Drosophila melanogaster: one gene and its partners. The protein of the gene in region 4 interacts with the protein of the main gene of each other region in a pairwise test. Each region holds a gene or a part of one and is shown on either strand. Other genes may lie near its edges.

Region 1 (6,838 bases), 260 kb from region 4:
CTTCTACACTGGCACCTAGAAAATGGCTGAATCGGGCACCTGCCCCTCTGGAACATGGGTATTCACTTTGGATGCCCAGCGAGCAAGGCGCGGCGCGGCGCAAAACATTTATGGAATCACCAGCACTCGCGAGAATTACACGCAATTTTCGTCGGCGAGCGGGCGGGGTAGTAGGGCAGGCCACTTACTTGTCGAAGACACCTCCTGCGCGGTGTTTCCGCCGTTCTCCGCGGCGACAGCGGGGGCTGCGTTGCTTTGGTCCTCCATCGAATCGCTCGCCAATTGTGTTTTAGTTCTGCTCACAATTTTTTACCGGCTCAGGCTACGGCTACACAGTTCACAGTTCACAAGCAACGTCTACCGTTCTCCGCTGGCTTCCAACAAACCACGTTTGAAAATTGACGTTTCTCTGGTGACGTAAAAAAACATCGCCGATGCGATACATCGATACATTTCGTATAGAGTTGCTTGCGATGGTTCTAGCTAAAAATATAATAAAAGTTATACATCTGAGCTTATACACGCCACCGACAATATACATTAGATCTACATGCAAGTCCATCATCTTTTTTCGCTTCAATTGTTATATATTATTTTAATAAACATCGAGTACCACCCAGATAGTTCGGTAAAATTGTAAGCTGTGATCACTGCGAATAAGGTATTAAAAACTAAAAATAGATAAATTTTATATTATTTTCTTTATTTATGTTTCTTGTAGATAAAGGAATCGAAGGATAAACTATAATTAACACAGGCTCCTGCCCCGGCTTAGGATTTTCTAAATGTAACTCTTCTGCAAGGTCCCTAAGGAATGTTTTATATAAAAATATAAAAGAATCTTTAGTGATGCGACTAAGACTATGTAATAAACAAAAAAAACAAGATGGAATGCTATAGTCGAAATCCCCGACTATCAGATACCCGTTACTCAGCTAGTGTGAATGCGAACGCGAAATTTCATTAAAAAAAACAAGAGGGAACGCTATAGTCAAGTTCCCCGACTATCAGATACCCGTTACTCAGCCAGTGGGAATGCGTTTTTAGGGCGTTAGAATGGGTGTGGTAAAAAGTTTCTTGGCAAATCGATAGAAAATTTCAAGACTAATTAAATTATGAAACAATATCAACACATTTTTTAAAAGTGTGGGCGTCACAGTTTTGTGCGGTTTGTGGGCATTAGAATGGGCATGGCAGCATGGGTCAACAAACGTGAGCCGCGTCTCTAAAATCTGTATGCTTAATCCCAACCTCTAGATTTTATAGTTCCTGAGATCACGACGTTTATACGGACAGACGGATAGACTCGGCTATTGATCCGGATTATATATAATATATATCCCTTATATAGTCGGAAACGCTGCTATCTGCCTGTTACATACTTTTCTAGTACGAATCTAGTATACTTTTTTACTCTACGAGTAAGGAATAAGAATAATACACACGACTTTAGAAATTCAATCCTAATACTGTTTATTTTATAACCTACTATTAAACTTTTAAGTATGTACAGTCAATAACAGTAATATTAGTGATAGGTGCCAACCAAGATATCATCGTATGGCCTGTGACATGTGCAATGGGGTCACCATTAGGGTAAGCTCCGCGTCCTTTAAATTTGCCCCACGCAAATTTGCCTCCTGCAAGTCGCTGCCAGAAAGATTGCATTTTTCCAAGTCGGCACCTGCTAACACCGCAGCTCGCAAATTACAGTTCTTCATATTGGCGTTCTTCAAATTTGCCACACGTAAGTTAACACCGGCCATGTTGCTGCTTTCCAAACATGCTCCTTTGAGGTTAACACCCTCTAGATTAGTTCGAACTCCTGTTGGGTCTTCAAAATTACACCCACGCAAGTTTGCACCTTCCTGAAAGATTAGGCAGATTAGTTTTCTTAGCTAATTGGATGGCGTAAATCTGTTACAACTAGTTTCACAAATGATGTGATTATTTAATAGCGTTTTCTGTTAAACCTGTGCTTACCATATTGGCGCAAAGTCCCCGCACTGACACTAGTTGGGCACATTCCAAGTTTGCGTACTGAAGATCCGCCCGTTCAAGACAGCAGTAGTTAAGATTGGTGTGGGACAAATTGCAGTGAGACATGTTGGCATACTGTGAAGGAAAAGGGATAGTCTTTAGTATAATTATTGTCTTCAACTTGATAGATCTCCACCAATAATTTTCCATTTTTTTCCGGACGAAAATATCTCCTTTACTGCGTAGCAAACTACAATAATATTAAAATGCAGTCGTGTTACGGCGTTGGAAAGACTTAAAATGTTGTATTACACAATGTATGCATTGAAATGAAATTCGTTTGCGCACACCTTGAAGTTAATGTTGCGAAAATCTAGCTTTCGTAGATCGGCCCCAGACAGATTAACGCCTTGAAAGCGCAGCTCCGTTATCACGGAGGTCTGAATGATGGCCTTGATGACGTCGTTGCGCGTCAATGGTCTGTCCCCCAGCGGCGTCTCCTGCTGTCCCAGGCGTTCCTCCAAATGGGTGACAAGCGAAAAGATTCCGAAGAACCGCGCCTCCTCCAAAACACCCAACACACTGATGTTCGAATCGCATACGAATTGTCCGTGGCGGAGGTAGTTGATGATCGGCTCGAAATATCGAGGACTTCGATCAATCAGGTATGCTCCCTGCTCGTCACGCTCGCTGGGCTTCATGCTGCCATTTTGCAGGAACATCCTAGCAAGCATTGAATCCGGTTCTCTGCCCACCAGAGTGTCGATGGTAGTGGCGTAGATTTGTCCACCCACGTTCAGTTTGACCCAACGATTGGGAGCGAATCCGCTAGCGGCGACGAAATCGCCGGCTGCCGGTGCGGCGTCGTCTTTTCTGGCTCCGGAACCACTCTCCTTCAGATCACTATTCATTTGATTGGGAAGTTTAAAAAATTTCCACAATGCCTGGCAATTCTCAGCTGCTTTATCTTCCCGTTCTTCCCCCGTCATTCCATTAAAGTCGTCGATTAGGGCTGTTCACACGAGGCCGCAACAGCAGCAGCGTTACATTTAATAGTTGTGTGAATTATGAGATATTGGTGAATTTAGCTAATAATTTAAATTAATAATTTAACGAAGAGAAGAAATAGCTCAAATAAACAATTATCAGAAAACTGGATATGTCTTATCTTATTACTGTCCATTAGCTACAAAACATATTATTATTTGAAATTTAATATTCATATAACGATGATTTAATATTCATATAAGATGGTATAAAATAACAAGCGAATTGAATTATGAAGAACCAATTTTCAGATGTGAAAATAAAAATATTTGTGGACATTGGACATTGCAAGCAGAAAACTATTAAAACCATAAAAGGTGTTTTACGAATGCATTTTAAATTACCAATTGATTGGTTAGAAGTGTAAACCCTCAATTTTTGTTTTGACATTGGGCGCCTGTGCAAAGAGTGTTATAGTTGGCAATCGACACCGATAGTTTGTCATCGGGAAGCTGGTATATGTAAATACAAAATAAATTATAAAAATTGGCTTCCACATAATTGAGAAGGTCGCTGAAAGCGTACGAATAAACCCCGCAAATAACCAAATGTCTGCCGCCGAGACAGGTCCAATAGCCAGCGGCAGTGCGGTGTCCACTGGACAGCGCGGTGTCAGCCGAGTACTTGCCAAGTTGTCCCAGTCTCTGGCAGGAGGAGAATTCTATGAAGCGCACATGATGTATAGGACGCTGTATTTTCGGTAGACTATTTGTATAATCCGTGCAAGGAAATGCAATCCAATAAGAAATTCGATTCCTTAGGTATACGGCGCAGAAACGCTATCAGGACTGCCTGGAACTGCTCTTTGATGGAGCACAGCAGCTTATTGCCAAGGAACAGGAAAGCAGCGCCGCGGACCTATGTCTCCTTCTGGTGGACACGTTAGAGAAGCGAGGACCACAGGCGGAAGATACCGACAACTTCCTGTGGGTTCCACGCCTAGGGGCTTTGATCCGCGGCCTTAACTCCGCGACTGTAGAGCGCGAAACCCTTATTGTGAGTCTTTGACATTATTAAACGCGACTTATACCGGCAATGAAATTTTTTTTCCTTTAGCAACGGACCATTAAGTGGAGCACGGCCTTGCATGGCCAGTATGGCCACCCAGTGCTCCATAAGTTAATTGCGCACGTGTTTTGGACCGAGGGCAACATTGAGTCGGCTCGTCACCACTATCTACTCTGCCAGGATGGCAGCCTATGTGGGCGAGTGCTAATTGAAATCAGCCAGAGCAGGGGCTTCCAGGGCGAGATGGACTTGTTTCTGGTACAAGCTGTGCTGCAGCAGCTATCCCTTAAGGATCGGAAAACTGCAGAGGACACGTTCACTGAGTACACACGCTACCACGCCAAGCTGCTTAAGCATGAGTTCCCCTATAAGGAACCGCTGGTCAACTTCTTGTACTTCCTATTCCGTCTTATTGACGCGAAGCGTGTGGCTGGGTTTCGGGCCTTACGCAAGCTTTACGATCCATCCCTAAAGCGCGACACGTCTTTTCTAAAGTACGTAGCCAAGATTGGGGTGCTGTATTTCGACGAGCATCCGGAGGCTGCTCATTCTGGCCCGCCCGGGTTGGGCGGAATGTTTGGTGACATATTCAATCGCCTTATGGCGGGCTTTGAGGAAGATGATGCGGACGATCATGACACGACCCTGAGGCGGCAAAACGAGAATAACGAACTGGAATAGCATGTATGCATTAATGAAGCATACCGAAGAGGGATCCTTTGTTGCTGGTCTTTTTGGTTGCTCAAAGTCAATGAAGTTCTTTGCCACAAAATCATCGGGCTATTTTGTTATAACTTTAAATTGCTGTATGCTAAATAATTTTAAATAAGCGTATGGTCTTGATTATGCAAATTATAAAAAAATAGTTATTCAAACAAAAATCACTATGACAAGTTCTCAAAAATCTTGTTTTGGGAATATCTTTTGAACTGGTAATTGGATTTTTGTGCTTTTGTAGTGCTTGCCTCCTACGCACAATATCCGGGTGCGCTTCGTCACAACGTGAAAATACATCGCGATACATCCCATAGTCGACATTTCGAGGATGCAATTAAAATGGGAAAAAATTGTAAAGAAAAATTAATTAATTGAAATATTTGAAAAGTTTTATAATTTTATAACATTTGTATTTCCAAAAATAAATAACCAGCATCGAAAGTCGACATTGAATATGCGGGATCAACCCGGCTTGTAACATAAAAGCAGAATCCCTTATTTAGGTGTAGTATAATTTGTTCTCATTTCCCTCCGTTTTTGTGTTATTCTGTATTGGCGGAAGAATTCAGAAAAGTTGTTTTTCCAAATTTAAATTATGTATATTTTAAGTCAGTAGTGGACTAGGTAGTAGAATTCGAATACGTGTGAATATTTCGTAAGTAGGTCAATCGTTTTTAAAAATTATACAATGTATCTAACTTGTCCTTCTGGAATCGACGGCTTAAAAATAATACGACGAAATCCCAAAAAAATATTTATGTTGCGATATAAGTGTGACCAGCACAAGGGTAAGTTAGCGTCGACCTGGAAAATACAATCTGAGATCTGGTCCGTCCGAAAAATCATTGAAAGTGCCCTGGTAGAATAAATCAGATTGGGTTTATTTAGTTAGTTTTATTTTCGTTGAACCACCCAAAATAAGAGTAAAGTTGAGAAACGCTCAGAATTAAAGCCACAACCTTTAACCGAAAAGGCCAATCACCGCACAACAAAGCCGAGTGAGAGCAAAGTAAGCAGGACCTTAAGGTTGGGCCTCTGTGCATCGATAAACATAGGACATTGTGTTATACTTTCAGCGAAATGGCCGACAAAGCTGCAGCGCCCTCTGTGGACTGTGCGGCGCCATCTGTGGACTGTGCGACGCCTGCAATACCAGCCGTGGAGGATCACACCACGCTGACCGTTCCACCTGCTTCAGCGAACAAAGCCACGGACGCTTCCACTTCCACTGCCGTCCAAGTGGCCGTCGATGGGGGGGAGCCGGAACGCTGCTGCTGGATCTGCTTCGCCACCGATGAGGACAACCGTCTGGCGGCGTGGGTGAAGCCCTGTCAGTGCCGCGGCACCACCAAGTGGGTGCACCAGAGCTGCCTCTACCGCTGGATCGATGAAAAAACCCAGAAGGGTAACGCTCTACGCACTGTATCGTGTCCGCAGTGCCAAACGGAGTACATCATAGTGTTCCCGCAGATGGGCAAGCTTGGAGGTGCTTTAGAGGCAATAGATAACCTCATCAAGCGCCTGAGCCCCTTCCTGGCGGCTGGTTTCTTCGTGGGCTCCCTCTACTGGACAGCAGTAACTTACGGAGCAGTCACATTTTTACAGGTACAACCTATCATTTTTAATCAGTTGTCATGCTAAGAGAATTAATTGTCTGTAGATTGTCGGACATGAGCACGGCATGTCCATAATGGAGTCTGGAGATCCGCTCGTTCTCCTTATTGGGTTGCCGGCTATTCCAGTGGGGCTTGTGCTTGGTCGATTGATTCGCTGGGAGGATGCATTGTTGCGTCTTATTCGAAACCGCGGGACGGTGGTGCGGAAGTTTCCTTTTGTAAGCCTTATTTATCCGAACCTGTAAGTGCATCAACAATGTCAGGGTTAGCAGACTTTTATTACTTTACATTTAAGCAGCAGCCAGGAAGAGGAACAGCAAAGCATCAGCAATCCGGCCACACCGGCTCTCTCTGACCCTGTCTCAGCCACGAGGGTCTTCTGCGGCGCTCTCTTGCTGCCCACCATATCGTCGATCGTGGGACGTATTCTCTTTGACACGGTTGATAACACATTGCATCGTACTCTGCTT
Region 2 (8,952 bases), on a different chromosome or scaffold from region 4:
CAATTACCAATACAATACGATGTTAGTAATAATGAAAGCAACATATTCTATATAGCTGCGTCTAAGCAATTGAAGCTTCCTAAGATTTTCGTGTCTTGGAACTTACTCCCCGATTATGTTGCTTCGCACCGTCGCAGTTAATGTGTAAATTGTATTATTTTGATGTGATGTATTTATAATTTCCCTTTATATATGCATATATAAATATAAATAAAATTTATTTTACCGTATACGTAGCTCATTACTTATGATTTCTTTTGCTTTCTTACCCCGTCCGAAAAGTGCAATATAAGTGTTAGGCTCTTTAAGTTGTATTTATCAATGTTGAAGGTTGTGTGACTATGTTTGTGAGGCGTTTTAAGTACCATTAACTTAGCACCGAGCCAGAAGTTGGTGTAAAGTCCAAAAACGAAAGAAAGAAAGCAATAATTGCATTAAATATTCGATTTTATGTTAAGATACTTTAATAATCGTACACAAATATGATTGAGAATGTGCCGAAATAACGTGGGAAAGTTAATGATCAAACAAAGGCACCGGCTAAAGAACGTTTGTACGTAAAACCGTAAACGTATCCATCCATCCATCCAACCAACCAACATCCAAAGCACTCCAAAACTGAGTCTGAGATAAATTGCAATTTAAAACACAATAAGAGCGATTTACACTTAGAAAACCCAAAAACGAAACTGAAACTGAAATCCAACAGAAAACAGTTGGGGACGTGTCAAAGGTCAAGCCCAACTGGAAGATCTACAACCATTCATCCAGTGTATACAAGCATAAATATACACCACTTATATTATATATATATTAGGTATATATTTTCGAACTGTTTTTCTACTTGCGTAAAAGCGAAAAGCAACTACCAAAATATACTTGAAAATACGTCCAAAATTTAAAATCCAAGGTCAAGATACAACTATGATATATATACTTACAACTGCATGGATATTCATGAATATAAATATAAATTGCATATTTACCAATGATAAACCTAACTGAGACAGAACTAATTTAAATATTGAATGCTCCCTGGGGGAATCCCGAGTATTAAATCCCAACCAGGGGCATTTGTTTGAGTATGTATGTGTGTGCATTTTGTAGACGCCGCAATTCAAATTCAAATCGGTTGAGCATTACAATTCAGAATTAATTTAATCACATGAATGTACATAGCGAGTGTGGCATTATGACCGGCAAAATCACCATCAAATTAACGCATTTAACTAGCGCAAAATAACTAGAGGTTCAATTAGAGGTTGATTGAGTAACGTAGTTGAGTCCCCGATTGAAAACGAAAGTTAGCCGCAGCCCAGTCAGTTTATTTGTAAAATAGATCGAAAATCCATAGTTGTAGGCAGTGTGCAATGCAATTGAAAAATTAAGTAGCCGTAGAGATCGCGATTGGAACGCCGACAAATTGAATCGTACCTTGACGTTATTAAAGAACTAATCATATTTTTGTGCAATCTAGTGCAGTTCTCATGCAATCAGCCCCGCAAATGAAATAGTTTGCCATTGCATATAGCATCTCTAGCATCTAGCCTCTAGCGTAACGGAATGTTAGGCACACACATATTAACTATATGGGATATAGGATCAGAAGGCAGCCTTCGGAAAGAGTTTACTTGTAAGTTTGCGCACTCTTAGAGCTTTTAGCACGGTCAACGAATAAATGTTATTACACCACAATTATAGCTCGACTCCATCAGCCGTTAAATAAACTATCCAAGAGTTCAGTCACGAGTTAATGAATAAACTAAACCATATGCTAGACCTGCTTTATCATAGTACACAAACAGACGCACCAAGCAAAAAAACCATTGTTGATGAATTTGGTTCGGTTCGTTCGGTTTGTAAGTACGGATATGTCAGTTTAGTTCACTCCACACTAGTAGTTGCAAATGCAGAACATAAAAGAATAGACTAGAGTGCAGAATATAGTTGTCAGCAGCGGAAAGAGTAAAGATAATTCTGGTAATTTACAATTGTTTTACTCCAATTTAAGTATTTTAATGCCAACACGCCAGAGAAATTAAACAAAAAACACAAGCGTAATCAGCAAATTTGAACAACTTCAACAAAGCAAAACAAAATAAAAGAGAATATGAAATATGTACTTATATCTATAAATACAAATATACAAACATGCAATGGACATTTTTTAATGGAGTTGGCTTTAATTTCACAGCTGGGGGGTAAATGTGGACCAGTAGAGCTGCTGGGTCAACAAGCGGCCACTGCGATATTAACGCTGAACTCGGCCTTGACTGCTACTAACTGGTTACATTTTGTTGGCCCAACACCTTCGACCCAAGGCAGAGGCTACTAATGGTTCGTTTGAAGATGTACATCCTCCAGTCGGAAGTTTTTTTTTATTCATGAAAACAAATGGCAAAATGGTTATGTAGATAAATGCTTACAACACTTTTAGTTTACAGTTTACATAGTTGGTTATTGCTGGATGCTCTCACGCAGGAGAGCTCCTTGTTGAATCCCTGGCCATGGAATGCAATCGTTCCACACCCTGCCTTACATCCTTACACGATCACATGGCGACTATATCATTTACATAGGATGGTTCGACTCTATTCTTACAACTTGCTCTATTTATATTTATACACACAAAGTACACAACACACAGTTAATTGTTATTAGCTTTCCAAATGACTCGTTTGCGTTTGATTTGCTGGTTTCTTATTTTGATTTGATTCCTTTCGATTTGATTTGCACTAGCTACCCCGTTTCTTCTTAATATACACGATTTGTGTACACAAAATATATAATTCTAGGATTCGATTTAGGTATTTACAAAGGGTTGTTCTAATTTGAATTCGAGTTCCGTTCAGTCGGCGTTAGTCAGTATCTCTCAGTTGCTTTGGTCCCCATCCCATTCCCCCGCTACACCCTATCTCCTCAGTGTTCAATGGTCCATCGTTGGGATTCGCTGTGGGGATCGCAAGGCGCCACCTGGGCGTCGTCCAGGCTTTTGAGTCCCTGATGATCGAGGCACATGCCCGTGTTGCTGTGAATGATGTGCTGGTGCTCGTATCGCCACTGCTCGTTGAACTCATCATTCTCCATGCAGGGCACCATCACGACCCGGTACGGTGGGGACTCGCTGTGCTGCACGGTTGCACAGCTTAGCTCGTTGCGCAGGACATTTGTGTTGGTGAAGGAGAATAGCTGCGACTTCTGCAACACCTTGCCGCATGGGTACAAGCCGGCGTTATAGGGCTTTTCGTTGTTCTGCAGCAAATCGTCCAGACATATGTTCGAATTCACAGCGTGCACTTTACCCCATCCCTGCACGTCCTTCGTGGGCACAAACTTCTCCGGATAGATGTTCTTGAGGTACCACTCGAAGCTCTTGCAGCGGAGCTTTTTGCGCAGCATTACTCGGTGGGTGACATCTCCAATGTCCGCGTGGAACTTTAGGTCCGGCCGGTTGAGGAAAAATATGTTGATGTACTCATCCATCCAAACCAGAGCCATGCGGGCAGTATTAATACCGTGTGTATCGCGATCGTTGGGGAATCTATAAAGAATTTAAATGAGTTCATTATAATGCAGCAATAGATAATGGCAGATGACAATAAAGTTACTATAGTTCGCTTCGAAGGTCAGCTTCATCATAAATTATAAGTATATAGTTCGTTTCGCTTACTTGTAAGGATGGAAGTCGCGGAATATGTGTCCAACGCGGGAGCAGGGAATAGTCTCGATGGTGCCGCCGCACTGCCAGATGCGAAAGGACATCTCCAGGTTCTCACCACCCCAACCGTCCATTTGTTCGTCGTAGCTGCCCACTTCCCAGAAGTAGCGACGATCTATGGCAAACAGTCCGCCGGCCATGGTGGGACTGTATGCTGGACAGATCTCCCGCTCCTGCTTGCATTCGCGTCGCTGGCGCTGCTTCTCCCGCTCCGGCAGATTGATCCAGTCAAAGTGGCCATTCCACTGGAATCCGCCGACCTGGAAGGATTTGTAGCCATTTGTGCTGTACTGAAAGTCGTTGGCATCGATGACATCGATAATGGGCACCAGCACGCTAGTCCGCGACTCCTTGATGCGCTGCAGGAGTGGCTCGCACCAGCCAATGTTACCCTCGCAATGGGCATCCAGGAAGATGAGCACATCCCCCGTGGCGATTCGCGCTCCGGCCAATCGGGCACGAATCAAACCCAATCTGCAAAGAGACAGGCGAAAACTTTCTTTATGCTATGTGAAGGGCAAAACAAAACAAATTTATTGGGTCATTCGAAAACCTTCGATCGTCTGCCAAGCACGATTAACACCAACCTACATGGCATCCACCGCGTGAAGTCATCCGAAAGTCTGCAAAGCTCACGGGCTGACGAGTGTAATGCACGCAGAAACCGAGTCTGGGAGTTACAAAAAGTCAAGCCCAACACACATAATCGTAACTTGACGAACTGGTTTTCTCTTCATTTTGTTTTTCGGTTTTTAGTTTTTGGTTTTTTGAGCGTTTGTCGGTTCTGGCCAAAAAGAAGATGCTCCATGCGCGTCTGACATGGCAAACAAGTTATTCAAATGAGTCCAAGTCGTCAGCGTTTCGATTAGCCAAATTACTGAACTTTTCCTAGCCCATAGGCAATAATGGAAATTATCTAGGTGTCAAATTTTCACCTTTTTTGCATTGTTGCACTTATGAACAATAATTAAGAAACGTGTATATACACTTGATTTCGATTTTTAATATATATAAATATAAATAAATATATAAATAAATATAATAAATGCTTCGAATTGTGTCTCAAAAACACGAAAGCATGCTTTAAGTTTAACACTTAGTATTTGCATATGCCAAAAGTCGCATTGAAAGTGAATGAGCAAGTATAACTACTATATTGGCCACTAATCAAGTCTATAATTTCTTGAGGGTTTCTAAAGTACTGGAGTGGATGAAAACTTTATCACATAAACAAGATTGGATTTCTATAGTTTGGCCATTTTACTGGAATTCCTTTTAATTCCTTTTTATCTTGCGGATATAGCTCACGTATTTTTGCCATTCTAGATTGGGAAAAACCGAACATCTTTTTCTGAAGTCTTTGGCGCAAACAGCTATTTCAGATACATTTGTTCTTAGTTAGAGTAACGGCAGCTCGACTTTTTTAGGTCAGACACCTTGTAGCTTCAACTCACCGGTTCTTGAGACGCAGAATGGTGACCTTCCCCGAGGGAATCCGCGTGCGAACATAGTAGTCCAGCTTGGCGCCCAGTTCCACGTTGTCGCTACCGTCATCCACCAGAATAATCTCCTTCAGGGCCTTCTCGTTGCAGGTGCTCAGAGTGCTGTGCACGGTCCTCAGCAGCACGGAGTAGGGTTCGTTGAAGAAGATGATGACCACACTGGCGGTGGGCAGGGAGTCGGAATCAAAGCGCTGTTTGGCGCACAGGGGATTCCGGTGGTCACCGACACTCCGGTTGTAGGTCAACTGCTCGCTTAGCTCCTCGTTGAGGGCAATCTTCTTGTAGATCTCATCGCCTCGTTCCTTGGCGGCACCGGAAAGATGCACTGCCACGCCCTGTTCGCCGAGTCCCACCTTCTGTTTCTGAAGATCCAGTTGGATTATTTGTTCGTACGGCGACTGGGTGGCGGGTCGGGCTATCTCGTTCTCACTGTCGCTATACGCCTCGAACCGCTCGCGCCCATGACCTCGCAGAGCGGCCGCCCGGACGAGTGGCGCTACAGGTGGCTCCTCTGGTGAACCATTCTGCTGCACCTTGCTGTAGAGGATGAAGCAGAGGGCGACTAGGATGAAGATGATCAGTTTGCCGTAAAAGGAACGGAACCGAGGCAGCATGTTGGCTTAAAATATCTTTTGACTGGGACTGCTGGTATCTGGGATTCTGAGGTAGCACTAGCTTCACTTCTCCACTCCAATCTGACTCTGCGGATCGGATCGTGTGCGTCCGCTGTCCGATTTTACCCGCTATTCGATCATTTAACTCCGATTCGCTGGCGAAAAATCCAGACACTTTGTAAGTATGATTCGTGGCTTCTCGGTTCGCCCACAATACCACAAATTCCAGTTTCTTCCCGCTTTCCGTTGAGCGCCGCGCACCGCCGCTTTGTGGAGTGGCTTAAACTAGACTAAATGGCAATATTAATTCTAAGCGCGACTGCCACAACAACAAATCAAACACAACAACAATAAAAAACAACGAAAACTTACTCGGGCATGTTTTCTATACGCTGTTGCTTCAAGCGTTAGTACATTTTGGGATACTTTTGCAGCAACAGCTGTTAAGTCGGCGCTTCGCAGCACTGCCACAGTGGGCATTGCTTGAAAACTTATCGTTCACTGTTATTAATTAATTATAATATATTTATAATAACAGTTTTTATTATTTGTACAATCCAGGTTATTAGTGTTCTGCACATAATACAATGTGAAAAACTACAAAATTATATTTAAGCCTTTGTTTGTCCTGTAGATTTGTAATAAAGTCTTACAGAAAACGTGCTCATATAATTTTGTCTTTTTAACAAAATTTTACATCTTTGTGCTTTAAGAAGATGTAAATAACTTTAAGCAAAGACAAAGACCACTTTACCAAAAAGGTCTTATACATATATCAGTATTCTCCAGTGTCTTTTAAACTGGTTTTATAAGTCAGATAACTAGGCTGCTTGGACAACAAAATACATTTCCCTAAAATTTTTTTTACATTTTATATTAAGAAAATCTCGATTAGTTGTAAGGTAGCTTGGACATTTTTTTTAAAACAAATTTGAATATAAGAAATCTACAAGTTTTTAAGAGTCTGACAAAAAAATTTTTTTTTAATAATTTAGACTATGATTTGTATATTTATTTGTATAAGAACTAATCCTAAATTGCATTATCAAAGCCGATTCGTAAGACATGGTAACTATACGCCTAATAGTCATTTATAATGATATACTATTGGAAGCAGTGTCTGCCGTGTAGATCGTACCAATTTAATGTGTGAGTATAAAACTAATAATTATAATTTATAACCAACAAGCATGCCAAGCCACATAGTTGTCACATCAATTGCGAAAAAAGCGGAAATTTAAATCACAAAACTTCCTGCCCCCGAGTGCCGTTGAAAACGAAAGGGACTGACCGACCGACTGACTGTCGCATTTGACACCTTGGCCGGCACTTAATGCACAAATGGCATGTTCATTTGTTGTTAAGGGGCAACAAATGGGTTTTCCATTAAAAACTTGTTGCTACGCCTCTTGGTCCGAACATGCAACCAAGCACCACATGTTGCCAGTGGAATTTGTCTCTGGTGGCTTGTTTAAATCTCATTTGAATTCTAATTGAGATTGGTTCTCATCGCAACTTTCATTTTGTAATGCTTCGAATTGATGCCAACAAGATTGGCCCCATTTCGTTGGGGTCTGTGATTAATTTGGCTAATTAACGTACGACTCCAAAGTGCCAGTTGCTGTTTTTAAGTGAGCTCTTGGGTCGCATAATTAATACGTTACGTATACGCATTGGTGTCGCTGCGGGAGGCGCCACCGGCCACCAGATCGGCGACCCAGCAGATAAATTAAAGTTCAAAGTGCTCCACAGCCATGGTAATTGGAGTTTTGGAGTTGTGGGAAGCAACCGTTGAGTCGCTGAAAGGTGGCAACTGTTTTGCCAATCTTCGCTAAAACTCCCTAATGGCTTTGAGCGACAAAAACTAGGAAGGAAATAAGTTACTCTCTGGCCGGGGCTCAGTGGGATGGGGCCTTTGTTTTAGTTGCCGAAAAAAAAAGAAAGATGGAGCAAAAAGGGGGAGATATATGCATATACATAGATACGTACGACGTGGAACCAGACGAGATTTTGGAATTTCATTTCGTGTGCGACCTTAAAATACTAGTTTGTAAAAATGCAGCGAATCCGGCATTGAAACAGATTAGTTTCTTCGCTCGAAAAAATTAACACCTCTTAAATTTGAAATACTCTTTTATTATCGCCACCGAAAATTGTGCATTTTCAGCACATTTGTGAAATGTTTAATGGCCTGAGGTCGAATTAGCTCTTAAGTGTTATGAGCCGCAACCGGATTGAAAAACGCGGCCCCTTCAAGAGTCCGCAAATATGTTTTTGTGTAAATAGCAGAAGTGCTCGATAAATAATTTTTTTAAATTACTCTATTCAATAATGAGCCCCCAACGAGGTCTCATTATAGCGCGTACAATAAAAGAAAAGGGTCAAAAACAATTTAACCACTAACAGATATTGTTCCACATGTGAGTCGACGACTGCGGTTAAGGTGCCTGCCATAATGACTCGGGCCACAGAAATCTATTAAATCTAAATGACCCTGAAGATCACACAAGCAGCCAAGAAATGGTCGACTAACGATCACCATCCATCAATGGAAATGGGCAGTCAACGGCGGATAATAACAGAATTGGGATTTGGGATTGCAATTGAAAAATGTCTGCCATAGATTTTACGGATTACGGATGGTTCGTCTGCTACTTTCGTTTCGCTTCGAAAGCCTTGCAAATGTCAAAAGGTTGGGTAATTCCGATGATTGCGTTGAGGTTTCGTCAGTGCCATAGGATGAGCGCAGGTCGGATCTGATCGGATCGACTCTGATAGGATTATGCCGGATCAGAGCTGGAGCAAGTCCACGACTTCCCATGACAAATTGATCTGCCTGGGAAGCGTAATGATGCCACATTATCATACGTTTTCCAGCGTGATTTATGATCCAGTTCGAGCGATTTTATAAGGGGAACTTCGTTTACAACTAAATCGAAAGTGAAAGATTTCACGATACTGGCTTGGCAATGACAATGCCAACCCATTGTCTCACCCACTACATCGCTTGGGGGTTAACCGGTTACCCAATGCCCCATCCCCATCGCCAAATCCGATACCAATTTCAATTCCAGTGCCCTAGGTCCAATCAGCACGCGTCAAAAGTGGCGCCAAAGTG
Region 3 (7,547 bases), on a different chromosome or scaffold from region 4:
GCGAAGCGCAGCTAAAGCAAACAAGTAAAACCCGCTAAAGCCAGGGAAGTGCGTAATAGCGACAGAGTACTCCGGAGAACTAGCTCAATAACACATGTGCGGAGTACTACTAGCCAGGACCGGAAACAAAAGCTCTAGGGTGAGGTGAGAGCAGGCGCGGGAGGTTCAAGATCCCGCTCTCGTGCTGCCGAGGAGTGCAGCTTGATATAGAGAGAGGTACTAGACAGTGGAAGTACTTACTGCTCCGGTTCCCCTCCTTGACGCGGTACGTCAGGTTGTGAAAGGCCAGGTCCACCGCTGGTCGCTTGGGGAGGTGCTGGAGCGTCTTTGGCTGGGCGGGTACTATTTGAGCTTTCAACTGACCCGCTCCGGCTGTGCCCAGTCTGTTGTCGTTCAACAGATTTGCATTATCGTTCTTAGTCATCTTGTCAATCAATCAACCAGGGGTTAAAAAGCAAAATGCAACCACTGTGTTGTGTGTGTATTCTTTGTAAACTTTAGCACTGACAGCAATACTGCAGCCCCTGCTGCCCTTCGTTCCCGTTTGGTTTTTCGTTCGCGTTCTCGATTCGATTCCACCACCGTCTGGTCCGGTGAGAGAAATTTTCCACCCGTCTGCTCGAAACGGTACTGCCGCTTCTCAAATATTAGGACTTCACTCGCTCGCGCCGCGATCGCAACTGAAATAAGCAATTGCGGCAGTGGAACAAAGGCAGAAATTTAGGCAACCGCTGACAGAGAGTGCCATCGCATACTCTCACAGCCCCAATGCTTTACGTCTGTGGTTAGAGTGGGACGACAATAGAAGCACTACTTCTGGTGGGGATTCTAGTGCGATTGAGAGGCACTGCGGGTTGGCTCTCTCTCAAAAGCCAGCGCATTCTTCTACTAAGTCTTGAATGAATTTGGGAAAAGCCTATAATCTGTGAATATTCCTCGATCGGCGGACCCATGTATCTCGAAATAAAATACCACTAACTAATTTCGAGGAAAGTCTTTACCTTGAGGAAGGTCTTTGATTCCCAGTCTTGTACTTTGATTGGTTTATCAGCCTTTTATAGTAGTTAGTCCTGGAAGCTAAGGTTCTGGCCATTGGTTTATTCAATCTAAGTTAAAAGTTCACGGCCTCGCTCATGACTCATGAGTTATTGGAGGGGCTTATCTATGGGTGTCAATCTACAGCTGATAGGAGTTTTCAATGAGCCGATAAGGGGTTGTACTTTGTCATTTCGTGTTTTACGTAAAAATAAGTTAATCGGTGCCGTAATTCGTTTAAAGGAGCTCTAGTACGCTTTTTAATGGTTTGCTTACGCGACATTTTACCTACATTTTGCTTTTCCCTACATTTAATGTGGCATGAGGTCATTTGTGGCTATGGCGTGGGACGACCTTACAACTTTGCCCCAGAAACAGTTTTGTGGTATATCTGAACGCAACAGTTAGATGTAGACATTGCTGTAAGGCTCCTTGTTGGCATGCTTTTACGATGCTCCGGTCTATATTTTGCCCAATCTAATTGGGATTTACGGATTGCACTGGGAGTGCTAATAACGTTTAGTTAAACCGGTTATTGTATATATTGGGGCAAGTAAAAACGTAATGAATTGACCAACAAAAGGTATTTTCCCAGTACAAACCGCAATTTGAGATATTATTCCTAGTTCGGTTTCTGGGTTCAAATCAGCATACAGCACTAAAGTTATGCAGTCGCCTTAAGATATGAAAGAATAATGTATTTCCACTGGCAATTTCCCGATGACTATTGGCTTGGAAATTTTTTAAAGCTTGTGGCTAATCAAGTCACGGAGATGTCAACAATTGGCAGGAATTGCAAACCGGTTGTTCTACACTTGTTGATTTCGTTTTATAAACGGGGGGTGTGGTATATTAGATGTGCCAACTAAATGTGATGCATTTTGCTTGAGACCCGCCTGATTCGGCTACTTACAGATTATTATTTTCCAAAAACTGCTTCCAACTATACTGGTTCATGGTGCCGTAACTCAACAGCTACTGAAACCATCGCTTTGAAGCAACAAGTTGCCTTCGCGAAAGCTAAGTCGCAGGCAATAACGAATAGGCAGTCGAAACCCAAACCGAATATAAGAATTAGCGATTTTGTATTTGGTTGTTGCACATCGGGTGTAAAAATATGTACACTCTGCTGGAGGGAAACTTTCGTAGTTTCTTGCGAAAACTGAAGCCGGCCAACTAGTGGAAACGATGCCACGTAACTGGAAAAGCGTAGACGGCTATATGGGAATTACTCGGGTCTATGGTGAAAAGTGGCACTCACACATTGGCACATAAAAGTTTCCTCTGTTTTCCTTGTTTTCTTTGTTATGCCCACCTGAAGCTCTCCCAATATGAGCCGTCCAAAAAAGCTTGCTTTCCCGCCAGAAACAGAGTTTTAGCTTTATTTTAACATTAATCCTATCTGAAATATACTCATCCGTTCTTCAGTACTTTCCTCTAAGTTACGAGGCAACCAACAAATAATTGGAAGACATATCTGTGGTCTCGGCTTTTGTGCGACAACATGCCATTATGTAGGAGGGAGTGGGCCAATATGCGTGGCTTGATGAACGACGGCCTAGGACTAAGTATAATCTGTAACAAATAAATATTGAATATCCTCCACACAGGATATTTAGATCAGAATTTACATAGCATTTAAATTTCAACGTTTTACATACTCAGCCTAAAAGTTGGCTACACTGTGTACTTATACTGCTATTTTAGTTATAGTTTTAGTTAGATATATTTTTAATATTCAGAACGTCGTATGCGAGACCCAAGCCAGGAATAGGAACATTTAGTACCGAATTTACATATTATAAACAAATCATTATTGCTTCATTTAAGGCTCTATTAATGCGGTCCACCACAGAGTTTATCAAATGCCAAACACGAATAGACACAGCTGATACGGTGCTCCTTGCATTCGCTATATTTAATTGTATATAGTGAACTTTGTACCAGGCGTGTATTCAAAACAATCAGCCAAAGAGCAAAATGGTGGAGGTTTTTACGAAGAGATTACGAGAAATGAGAGAGTGTTGTAATAAGTAGTACTGCTGAAATGCATCTGCATACTGCGTAACCTATCATAGTTTCTGAAATGAATTTATCAAAAATGTAGAACTTAATTTGTGGGTTCTAAAGTGGGCCATGCACATAAATGGTGCAGGTGTTCTACGATGAGAATTACTAAAAACTTTTGTTTTTCATTTGGCGCTAATGCAAGCTACAAGTGCTCGAAATGCATAAATGAGCTTATAGCGTGTGCTCAGTAACGGGGCTTTTGGCTACCCGACTAGCCTCGAAACATAAACATTATGGGTCGCATTGCAGGTCTCTCTGGCTAGTGGCTGCGGAGCGGGTGCTCATATACCGCCAGTTTTGAATGCTCTCTGGGAGGCCTTTGTCTGTGCGTCGGCGTCGCAAACGAGATAAAGAAAAACCCGAGGCGCGCGACGAAACAACGAAAAAAGTGAATGCTGTCGCGCTAACTGTGCTCACAAGACTTCCAAACATCGAATTGGTCGGGTGTCCCCAACAGTCGCTCCGCAGCCCCTGACAGAAACAGAAACGAAAACCGAAAGTACCGCAATCCAAAATTACCAAAAGACCTGTCCAACCAGCGACTGTTTAACCAATCATATAACTGTAAAGTGGAAAAACGAGCAGAGCACGGTAAGTTGTGCGGAAGACTGCGTCTTCACTGGAAAAGTACCCCTTTTTTAACTACCTCGGAAAATCAAGTGCAAGGAAAATAATTACATAAAAATTCATGAGAAAAGCAGAGTGAGCCAGCATGCCACCAGCCCTTGCCCTTCCTGCGCACGTCCTCACATTCGCCAGCAATACATAACTAACCGTGTCCTTTTGTCCTTCTCGCCGACTCCAATCCAAGAACCAAGATGGCACTACGCGTGGCAGGACTCTTCCTGAAGAAGGAGCTGGTGGCTCCCGCAACACAGCAGCTGCGTCTGCTGCGTACTGGCAATACCACCCGCTCCCAGTTCTTGGCCAACTCCCCCAACACGGCTCTAGACAAGAGCATTCTGCAGAGGTACCGCAACCTGGAAACGCCGGCCAATCGAGTGCAGGCTACTTACTTATGGATCGACGGTACCGGCGAGAACATTCGCCTCAAGGATCGCGTTTTGGACAAAGTACCCAGCTCCGTGGAGGACTTGCCGGATTGGCAGTACGACGGCAGTTCCACCTACCAGGCCCATGGCGAGAACTCGGACACCACGCTCAAGCCACGCGCCATATATCGCGATCCCTTTAAGCCGGGAAAGAACGACGTAATTGTCCTGTGCGACACCTACAGCGCCGACGGCAAGCCGACGGCGTCCAACAAGCGTGCCGCGTTCCAGGCAGCCATTGACCTAATTAGCGATCAGGAGCCCTGGTTCGGCATTGAGCAAGAATACACTTTATTAGACGTGGACGGACGTCCCTTCGGCTGGCCGGAGAACGGTTTCCCAGCCCCACAAGGTCCTTACTACTGCGGCGTGGGAGCTGACCGTGTGTACGCTCGCGATCTTGTGGAGGCCCACGTCGTGGCCTGCCTGTATGCTGGGATCGACTTCGCCGGCACCAATGCCGAGGTAATGCCCGCGCAGTGGGAGTTCCAAATTGGTCCAGCCGGGATTAAGGCATGTGACGATTTATGGGTGTCGCGATATATTTTGCAGCGCATAGCTGAGGAGTATGGCGTAGTGGTCACCTTTGACCCCAAACCGATGGAGGGTCAGTGGAACGGAGCCGGCGCGCATACCAACTTTTCCACAAAGGAGATGCGTGCTGATGGCGGAATCAAGGCCATCGAGGAAGCTATCGAGAAGCTGAGCAAGCGCCACGAGCGGCACATCAAGGCATACGACCCCAAGGAAGGCAAAGACAATGAACGGCGCCTCGTGGGACGTCTTGAGACTTCTAGCATCGATAAGTTTTCTTGGGGCGTGGCCAACCGGGCCGTAAGTGTGCGAGTGCCGCGTGGCGTTGCGACGGCCGGCAAAGGATACCTCGAAGACCGGCGGCCAAGCTCCAACTGTGATCCCTACGCCGTGTGCAACGCCATTGTTCGCACCTGCCTGCTCAACGAGTAGGCTGTGAGCGGTGCAACAGATGTTTAATTTTTTGTACATTATGTTTTATGGAACTGTGAAGCGTATCCGATCATTTGGTTATATTTACATTGAACTGAAGCAAAATTTAGTTTGCTTGTGCAAAAAAGACAGGAGACCGAGGCACGAAAAGCGTGCGCTTAGAATTTAAGAACGTGGGTGGGTGGCAAGAAGAACTAAGCTAAAGCGAAATTTCCTTAAAGCGATGGGGCCTCATGAATACTTTGCCATATATCTCACAAACTACGTATATCTATCATTGCTTTAATCTAAATAATAAAAAACATTGTACTCTACGTTAATTTTTTGTACCTTTTAGATCAAACAAACATTTTGGGATCCGACGTTGAATTCGGTCAACGCCATTTTTTGCCCTTAACTTCTTGAACGCACTTTTTTAATAACTCCTAAGAGTTTCTAAATGTAAATTTAAGAAGGAAATATCACTGAAATCGGACGATATGCATATTAATCATTCATATCCATGAGCACGAATACACATATATGTGAAATATGTTTATAAAAACCAATTGTTGATTAGAAGTTGTTAAAAATAAAATACTAAGAAATTAATTTATGTATATATATTGGTACATATGTATCTCACTTTACGGATCTGTCGCTTCACTTTGTTCGGTAGCATTTTACATCATTTTACTATATGCTGTTATAATATAAATGTCTAAATACTAGCACTAGCAAAATTAAAAATTCCATTGAGATACATAAATACATTTTGAGTAAAAGCAGAACTGCGTACAAAGCAAAACACATTACTACAGACTATTTTATTTTCTCTTTTCTGGCGAGCTTTTGAACAACTGTTGTTGCAATGACTGTGAAAATCAAAGTTTTAAAATATAGAACAGCTTGCTTGTAAATAAGAGTGACATGAGGGCACAAAAACTAGCTAAGGCAAGACCTTGTTTTTAATGGAAAGTTTTCCACCACAAACAGCTGCCTGACACTGAAAGTATTCAAAGACTAAATCTTAGGGTTTCCGTTCAGAATATGTGTGTTTTTCGCTCAACTGACACACACCCTCGTATATATGTACATATATGTATGTTTGTATGCTTGGATGAAAGATATGGCTGCGAAGGAGACAATGCTTCCATATACTCGTATATTCCCAATGGCAATATACTGCGTCCAGCTGATAGGGCAGGGGTACTGCACTCTGGGATGGCAGGCAATTGCATTTCCCTGCAATCTTATATTGATTGAGTATAACCGCGAACTCAATCGCTTCAAAGGGGGGCTATTAAGTGTGGTTATTATACTTAAACTTACAAAATAAATCTTAAATTTGAATTAAATTAAAATAGCAGATACTGCAGTACTACTAAACTGATATTTAATATACATACATATGTATGTATCTAGTATGTCTTCGAGCATCTAAAATTGAGTGTGCTTTTTTTACTGCACTTTGCATGTCCGTTCTCGCAATTGTTGACATTCTGAGGTGCAGTTAGCGGTGTTTGTTTGGCTCTGCTGGGAGCGGATTACGGATTACGGGGTATGCAAATGTAATAAGGTTAAGAGGGAGAGATAAGGCCATCCAGTTTATACAAAACAGTGTTAAATACACAGAGATAGTTCGACCAAGCCAGCCAGCCGAAAGAGGCACGGAATCATCCGTAGTCAGACCATCTATAGCTTCGTTAACTCATCTTTAAATGTTCGAACGCATTCCTGTGCCCAATTCCAATTCGACTATCTAATATACCCGTTTTCCATTGCAGCATTTGTGGGCACAATGTAGATACTATAATATATTTTAAAATCACATAAACAATCGAATCAAGGCACTAGCCTGTTATGGCCACAGAACTCAATAGTTCCGCACCGTCGCCCAAAAACCAGATTATTAATTAATTGAAGCAGGTTCATTGGTATGCATGAAACACGTTCAAAGATGTCAACATCATACAATGCAGGCCTGAGGAGATCCAGTTATGCTGCCTGAGACCAGGCGATTTGCATAAAACGGAATGATAAGCTGGACACCTGATTTCGAAACTATTGATAACAAAATGATATTGATATATCACTGAATCAAGTGATCAAAATAATATATTTTTGCTCTAGATAAATGTAGGCAACGATCGACTGGATAGAAATATAAGCTTCACTTACTCTCCTCACCTTCCTATAAAATCTTCAGTTCGTCAGTTCACTCGGTTAAAGTCCAAGCAAACTGATAAGACAGTAAGGCCACGAAGTTAATCTTCCGGCTGCAAAAGCCTGTCCAGCGTTTACCATTATCTTTTGTACCGTGCCTTTTACTTCTGACTCGGTCAGAAAAATACCTCCGCCTGGGTAGGGTTATCAAAGGGCAATAAATCATACTGGCTGCGGTTGCGAAAATAAAATAATGTTGAACCATAATTGATCAAATCA
Region 4 (7,444 bases):
AAATTTATATAGGCTATATACATATACATATATGGAAAAGTATCCTTTGAGTGGGTGGCTACTGGAACTAAAGCGTCCATGTTTCACTTTCATTCCTGGGGAATTGGGGCGCCTATATGAGGAATGGTTATGCAATTATAGTTTTCAATTACTGCACTCCGTTGTGGGCATTTAAAATCAATTAAATTATCCGGATGGCATCAAAATCAGACTTTGATTCCATTTCCAAGTTCCAAGACTTACAGCTCCACTCAACTCCATAAGAGCAAAACAAATCTTCTCCTTAAAACGAATTAAAAATACGAACTTGAAAACTAATCGCTCTTTAATGATAAGCGGACAACGTAGACCCAACTTAACAATCCGGTTGTGTTTTAATTATACGGCTAGCTCACGGATACGAACTAATAAATACTCATCGGGCGCCATTAATTTACTGGGATTTGATAGGAAAGACTTCGCCCAAAAATTAAGTAGGTTTTCAGGTGCCTAGTTTAAAACCCCCGGCTAAATAACACTGAAAAAAATCATATTGCTTATAATATAAAAAATGAAAGTTAGGGACAATAAATTATTCGAAAACCACCAATTAAATTGACTTTGTGATCCAAAATTTTTAAGAGTGTATTTCAGATAATATTCAGACATAGAACAATTTTTTTCAGTGCGCCTAAAATCACCCAATGCAGACACAGGCAAGTGCAGTTTCCATTTTCCAGGCCTGCGTGCGTGAGAAAATGGAAATGGTTGAAATAACAGGTAAGTTAATAAGCTGGCTGTGCCACCAATGCGTTCAGAGCGTCTTCTCTACCTCCATTGTTTCAGATTTCCGTCGACGACGAAAGACATGAGGCGTTCGGCGTGGAACAAAACCATTCGCTTTTCTGAACAACCTGTCCGAGAGTCCAGGGGTTCTACCACTCTACTCACATACACTCGCTTGAAAGAGTGGACACTATGAGTTTGTACAATAATTGCACAAGTATCACTCACACTGCCCGGTGAAACAGGTAGGCGACGAGCCCAAACTGGGCCCATATGGGTGGCCACGGCGAAGTTGCCGGCAGCAGATGGCAGTGACAAGTGCTTTTGGTTATTGTTATGAAAGAGCCGGACTCGGGCCGAATTGGTTACGAAATCGGATACCAGATAGCACCTCCCAAAAGGGAAGAGTTGAGCATGTGTATGTCAAGCACAAGATGGCTTAAAACAAGTCAGTCTGATTTGGATAAGGTACTCTAGTATCATGTAATTACATGACAATCGCTTTATTTCTAAGATTCTCATTATATTTCTAGCTTTTGAAACTAATGTATGAAAATTTTAACTTACGAAATGCGAGTATGTTTAGAACAAAATGGAACAAATTTGTAATTTCGCCACTGATCTGGATTTCATTTACCCGATTACAGAGCGGTCCGAAAGAGAGACCAACTTAGTTAGCAAATGAAAATGAAATGTTTCCCTCTATGTAATTCTGATTACAAAACAAAATGAGCCACGAAAAAAAAAAAGCAAAACCGGGCTTCGAATGTGCCCCAACCGGCAGACAAAACAACCGAAGACAAATGGCCATAAAATGAAAATTGCAACTTTGGAAATTATTCGGCAAACAAGTTATGAGCAGCCGCGGCATTTGGGCAGTTGCGGCGGCGCCAATTTCCACGGCACCCTTTTCCTCCGGTTTCCTAGCTGGAGCCGCAGCTACTCCTATTTGTACCATTAAGACCGCTTCCGTCTTTGAGGCAAACTGAACTCACATAAATTGACGCACGAGGCGCGCAAAAACAATGAGATGGGAAAAGCATAAACAAAACAGCAGCGGCGGAAAAGCTCTTCGAAAAACAGATGATGAGGAAAATACCCACCGTGCAAAGAAGTGAAAAGTACACTTGAAACAAAAATATAATCCGATATTTGTTTGGACTAATAAAAATTAAACTACCAAATTTATAAAACCGATGTGTAAACAATATGATTTCTTGATCATACTATTTTCTGTCGCATTCAATCGCACTATAGAGAAAAATATAAAAAAAGCATGAGAGCCGCCACCCACCTGCACCATTATGAATTGATTTTCATGTGAGGGCACAGAAAAAATAATATTCGCTTGGGAAAGTGCCCCGGAAAAGTGTGTAACGTGTAACGACCGGCACCGCTCTCTCCCACACTCGCCCTGCCAATTGCTGCAAAAAATTGCCAACCACTGTCACCCGGAGGAATTTATTGCTCCTTTTGTGGGTAGTGCACGCTATCCTTCGAAAACCAAAAAAAAAAAATTTTTAAGTTTTGAAAATATATTTGTTTGACGATTTTCCAGGCACCAGAACTTGGGAGACACAAGTACTTACATACATACATACATAGAGATGTTTTTTTTTTAGATTTTGAAACTCAAGTTCGGAAGACGATGAACTCCATATCGCCGGGGAGTGTGTAACCCACTCCAGCCCTTTCAAATACCTTTCTCCTGTCCCATCACCTTCATCATCCAATCCACCCGATCCAATCTAGTCCAACGCCCTTGCCGCCGGGTTTGCTCCGAAAGTCGACTTGGTCCGCTCGTAACGCAAATGAAGCATGAAGCCTGAAATATTAGCCAAGTGCGCGGCTGGCGAAAAATGCGTCGCCCTGTCGCACAACTAGGCAACCCTGACAGCTGCATTCCGCAAATGCAATTAAACCAACTTTCCAATGATGGATTTTTTCTTTCGATTATAATTCAGCCGTTTTTCCCCGTCTTTTTGCCATTACCTTATTAGCTAAAAACCTGTAGCCTGTAGCTCGGGCAATGACGATAATGATGATATCAAATAAATGACTAGGCGCCCGAGTGCTGCAAGTTTGAGCGGTGAGAAAATTGGCATGCAAAGTGAAAATGTTTTGGGGAAAAAACCTATCAAAGCCAACACAGAAACGCATGTCGAGGGTGTCGAAATTTTTTTGAGACACATTTGTCGAACATCAAATTCGAAAGCCAGCAGATCGGTGGATGGATCGCAAGAATGTACAACTCAAGCTCACAAGCCTCACTCCAGAACACGAGCCTCCATCTACAAGTTCCGCCTGACCAACATGATCCAGGTCCCAGAATGCTGCTTGAGGTCATATCCCTAGTCCTGGTCATCACAACGTTATTTTGCTGCTACTGTTGCGTCAGATGAATGGATCTAAGCGATCCGCTCAATGAAGAAAAATCTCCGAGAGAAATGTGTTTTACCCAATCCTACTTTTTGATATCCGTTAGGAAAGATAGGAAAGATATTAGTCTTCATTTTTCGAATGGACCTTTTTTTATGTAAACTTCAAGCCAATAGTTACAAATTGCATAAATAAGCACGTTACTAAGACAATTGGCTACCTTTTTACACTTTTCTTTTCTACACTTTTTACGGTTTCAAAATGCAGATTTTGAAATCACTTATTCACTTATTATTTACTTTATTCATTGTGCAGAAGCTGAAAACACTTACCAACAAAATTCGAAGCTCTGTTCGTTGCTGGCACAGATGCTGTTTTTTACACAGTTGTTTTTCGGCGTTCAATTACATATATAAAAACAATTCAAAAGAATGGCGAGTCAATTGGAACAGCCACTGCAGAGTCCTAAAGTTGTTGTTGTTGTTGTTTGGAGCTGCTTTTCGGGAACAGGCCAAAAATCATTAGAAATTTCTATACTCGAGCGAGCAACACGTACACACGCACACATACGCACTCGCACACAGAGGCGCACCCACACACACTAATAAACGCGGGCCAGAAAATAAAACGGGAAACGTGTTTGCTTGTGTACTGTTGTTAGAACTGTTGTTGTTGCTGCGTTCGCAGTTGGCTGTTTACGGCAGTCGTTGTTGTTTATACAGGTTGTACATATGTATTTGTGAGCGAGAAAAACAGTTTTCCGCCGCGCCGTAATTGCAACTACTCAGCTTGGTGGATTGGACTCCCGTCAAAATCGGAAATAAAAGGCACTACCCACCCACATACACACACAAACACACTTCTGCCAACTCTCCTCCCTCAACCGCACAAGCGCCGCAGTTGCACCTCGACTGAATTCACGATTTTACACTGCACAGGTGCAGTGCTGCGCAAAACAAAACGCAAGACTCTCGGATCCGAACTCCGTGGCTTTGGGCTTTTCCTGCCTTATTTCCCGTGCGCACATATGTACACATTCACATGTATTCATGTACCAAGGGGCGAAATCACGTCCGAGCGGGGAATTATGTGCTTGCGTGCCGCGCTAAACTCTTAGCCACCTCCTTTTGGCCGAGTTCAAAACGTACTGCCGAGCGTAGGAATTTGTGGATATAAAAATGGGGCGGAGTGTGGCCAGCTGAATCAGTTGAGGTGGGTCGAATCGGACTACGAGCGGTATTTTTATCTGTCCGCAGGCAAGGTCTCTCTGTACGCTCTTACGTTTTTTGTTACGTTGTTCGGCGAAAAGCCTTCAAAATAATTAACAACTTTCTCGGTTTTTGAATTAGTACGTAAAGTATTGCATACAAAAATCAACGAGACGCTGATGGATCAATCTATGAAGCTTTGGGATCAAATAATATATAATATTATATAATGATATATGGCGGAGTTTAAAACCAAACCAATTTCAAGATAATTTTTTATTGCGCGTCCCGAAAGTATGCTACACCCATTCCTTTTTTTTAAATTTATTTATTTAGAAGCGATGAATCCATACAATGCAGCAATAGCAACATAACAGCGCAATTAACATATAAATGATAAAACCAAACCTCTCACTAATCATGTGAGGATTTAAACACCCATTCCTATTTTCAGAATGGAACTCGCACGAGAGCTAACGTTTGAAAACAAATGTATTCATTTACTTTACTTTTTTTATATATCGACTGGTAATTCTTAAGAATAAATCTCCACCCTGTGATGCTAAGATACAATATAATTATGTACGGATTCTTTTTAATAAATATATATAAAAAAATGTATTCATATGATTTTGACAATAATATGAGTATACATATTCCTATATTCTCCTAATATAAATATTAATAGGATAAAAGGACTATAATAAGGTAAATGTAAATATAGTCTAGGAGAAAGTTTTACCAACAATAGGGGTTATAGTCATTCATGTTATGTTATGTTCTGATTCGGGAGCTGAACCCTAACTAAATATATGGGCTCCTTGATATATGACACTTAGGACCTATAGAATATCACATTCTATATCTCGTGTATAAAACAAAACGTGAAGTTTTACCATATTTCGCCAAAGTATATATGTGGGGTTCATCGCTCGTTATATAAATTCCTAACTTGTTTATATAAAATTTGACTCGTTCCGCAAAGTTTTTGCTTGATCAGAGTGCTTTTTAAGATAGGAAAAAAGAATAAGGAATAAGATAGCTATATAGAGTCTTAGGAAATGGTTAGGAAATAATGCAAATAACATAACCTTTTCAACAATATAAGATTCAAAAGTCTGTAACTTCAGGCGATCGGAAGCTATGACAGTACTTACGAGGATTTAAAGCCGCTAAATTAGACGGCTTTTTATTGATCGTCAATCTAAAGATACTTAGATCAACATTTGTTCACAATTTACATGGTACGTTCATACTAAATTCCTTGCTAAAATTGTTAATTCTTTTAAATTAGTGAAAGAGGACTGAGTTGTGTATCAAAAATCAGGACATTTTAATTTAAAAACAAAAGATACCCGATACTTAGCGGTTGGAGTGCTAGGAAGCTAGAATTTAGGTTATACAAATATACAAAGTGAATTAAACATTTTTCTTTTTAATACTTTCTAGCTTCGGTTTATCTACAAATACAAAAGTAAAGCATTTTTGAACACTAAAATAAGGTTTTGATGCAAAATCTTTCGAAATATCTTTTTTATGTGTTATTGAACATAATATTTATTTATATTTTTTCTTTTAATTAGAAGCTATAAATGGCATATAAATATTTCAATATAATAATAATAATAATAATAATAATAATAATAATAATAATAATAATAATAATAATAATAATAATAATAACATGTGATAAATTCCTTTGGTTTTCCCGCTATTCCTTCAAAGCTCGAAGATCCGGATAAAGAGATCCGGCATTAATATAATGAGATTCCGATTTGCGTAAGTCTCGCTTGTAGTCACTGACCACAGCTTCTCCTGTTCGTTTGACCATTTTCTTGGCAATGCCCTTCGGGGTTATGTAGTTCACGTTCTGACTGACCACGAAAACGTTGCCCACCGTGTCAAAGGTGCCACTAGCCAGATTCCCCGTCTGCTGGCCATATCTGAAATAGCAAATAAATATATGTAAATATATGAAATATTAAAAATGCCCGCACTATATGTTTTTCTTTTTCGAAGGCGAAAGAAACCCAAAATGAATATCTAGATCTTAGTAGACCTTTAGTAGCATTACATATTTGAGACGATTCACAACAAGTTATAAAACTTTTCTTTGTGTGCAAGCTTGAGTAACATTTCCCGATCCTTGATCATTTTTGCGATCCTCTGCACATTGCGCATAACTTAAATCTCAGATATATTTAAATTGAATAAACCGTTGCCAGCCTAAGTGATTACTTTCAATTCGGACGAAAATTCGTAATGACATCTGTTACAAAACTGCATAAGCATTAAGAAGCCAAAGCCAACCCACTTGTGTTCGATTATCTTGACGGAGTTTTCACTGAGGCTGGAGCCTAGGATCTTGGCGGAAGTCTCGAGGCCATCGAATACGGTGCTCACTCCTTCCACGGCTCCTGCCGCGATGGTCATGGCGCCCTCCATGGTGCTATTAGCCTCGCTGGTGTCGTAGCCAAATCCCTTCTGCAGCAGTTTAGAGCCTTGCTCCTGAATGTGGGGAGCCAGGTAGCGGCCGACTGCCATTGAAGCAGTGCCCACCTTTCCAGCTATCCATCCTGTCATTCCGGCTGCGGCGTGCGTCACTTTTTGGGCCACCTCAACTATAATGAACAAAAGGTTACAACATAAGATACATTAGATCTATCTTATATGTAATCTGCACATTTCCAAACCATTGATTAACATGATTATCAAACACAAGCACAAACTCCGATCGAGGTGGAAGTGTAGTGACGATCACATCTTCGACTTCGAATCTTATCTTCTAATTTTATCGTTACATGCTCATTCGGAAGCTACCATACTTCCGCCCTAAATACAGCTCTTCCCTATTTGGAACTAACTCACCTGAAGTTTGGACGGAGCTGGGCACCTGAGCATCCATCGAGGCTGGCGTCATCTTGGAAATGATATACGGAGTACTCCTAAGCATAAAGCCTCCTGTCTTCTCGGCGCCCCGTACCAGGTTACTAGCAATGAAATCAGCCGCACTTACAATGTGTCTGGACACCTGCTCCGACCCGGAAACGGTATCTGAAGCTAGGCCAGCACGTTGGGAGGTCGGCGATTTC

Evidence for each region.
Region 1: the proteins of smash (region 4) and CG14647 interact in a two-hybrid assay, tested with the Drosophila melanogaster proteins (one large-scale study listed by BioGRID).
Region 2: the proteins of smash (region 4) and Pgant1 interact in a two-hybrid assay, tested with the Drosophila melanogaster proteins (one large-scale study listed by BioGRID).
Region 3: the proteins of smash (region 4) and Gs1 interact in a two-hybrid assay, tested with the Drosophila melanogaster proteins (one large-scale study listed by BioGRID).

Annotation. Positions count from the first base shown.
Region 1 is NT_033777.3:4,396,631-4,403,468, reverse strand, and holds CG14647 (uncharacterized protein), read right to left. Parts: upstream 2,960-6,838; 5' UTR 2,892-2,959; coding exon 2,331-2,891; intron 2,116-2,330; coding exon 1,984-2,115; intron 1,869-1,983; coding exon 1,554-1,868; 3' UTR 1,452-1,553; downstream 1-1,451. Other genes in the region: lost, read right to left, coding at 189-267; CG9853 (uncharacterized protein), read left to right, coding at 3,576-3,727, 3,789-4,023, 4,084-4,716; CG9855 (uncharacterized protein), read left to right, coding at 5,833-6,357, 6,413-6,609, 6,667-6,838.
Region 2 is NT_033778.4:15,508,986-15,517,937, reverse strand, and holds Pgant1 (polypeptide N-Acetylgalactosaminyltransferase 1), read right to left. Parts: upstream 6,229-8,952; 5' UTR 6,207-6,228; intron 6,127-6,206; exon of another isoform or gene 6,125-6,126; 5' UTR 5,835-6,124; coding exon 5,173-5,834; intron 4,372-5,172; exon of another isoform or gene 4,317-4,371; coding exon of another isoform or gene 4,306-4,316; intron 4,193-4,305; coding exon 3,671-4,192; intron 3,542-3,670; coding exon 2,920-3,541; 3' UTR 2,341-2,919; downstream 1-2,340. UniProt on the Drosophila melanogaster protein: Catalyzes the initial reaction in O-linked oligosaccharide biosynthesis, the transfer of an N-acetyl-D-galactosamine residue to a serine or threonine residue on the protein receptor.
Region 3 is NT_033779.5:128,560-136,106, forward strand, and holds Gs1 (glutamine synthetase 1), read left to right. Parts: upstream 1-3,517; 5' UTR 3,518-3,923; coding exon 3,924-5,123; 3' UTR 5,124-5,913; downstream 5,914-7,547. Other genes in the region: CG3164 (uncharacterized protein), read right to left, coding at 241-383, 1,949-1,992.
Region 4 is NT_033777.3:4,656,432-4,663,875, reverse strand, and holds the start of smash (smallish), read right to left. Parts: upstream 4,298-7,444; 5' UTR 3,477-4,297; intron 3,350-3,476; exon of another isoform or gene 2,937-3,349; intron 1-2,936. Other genes in the region: spartin, read right to left, coding at 6,064-6,295, 6,667-6,973, 7,221-7,444.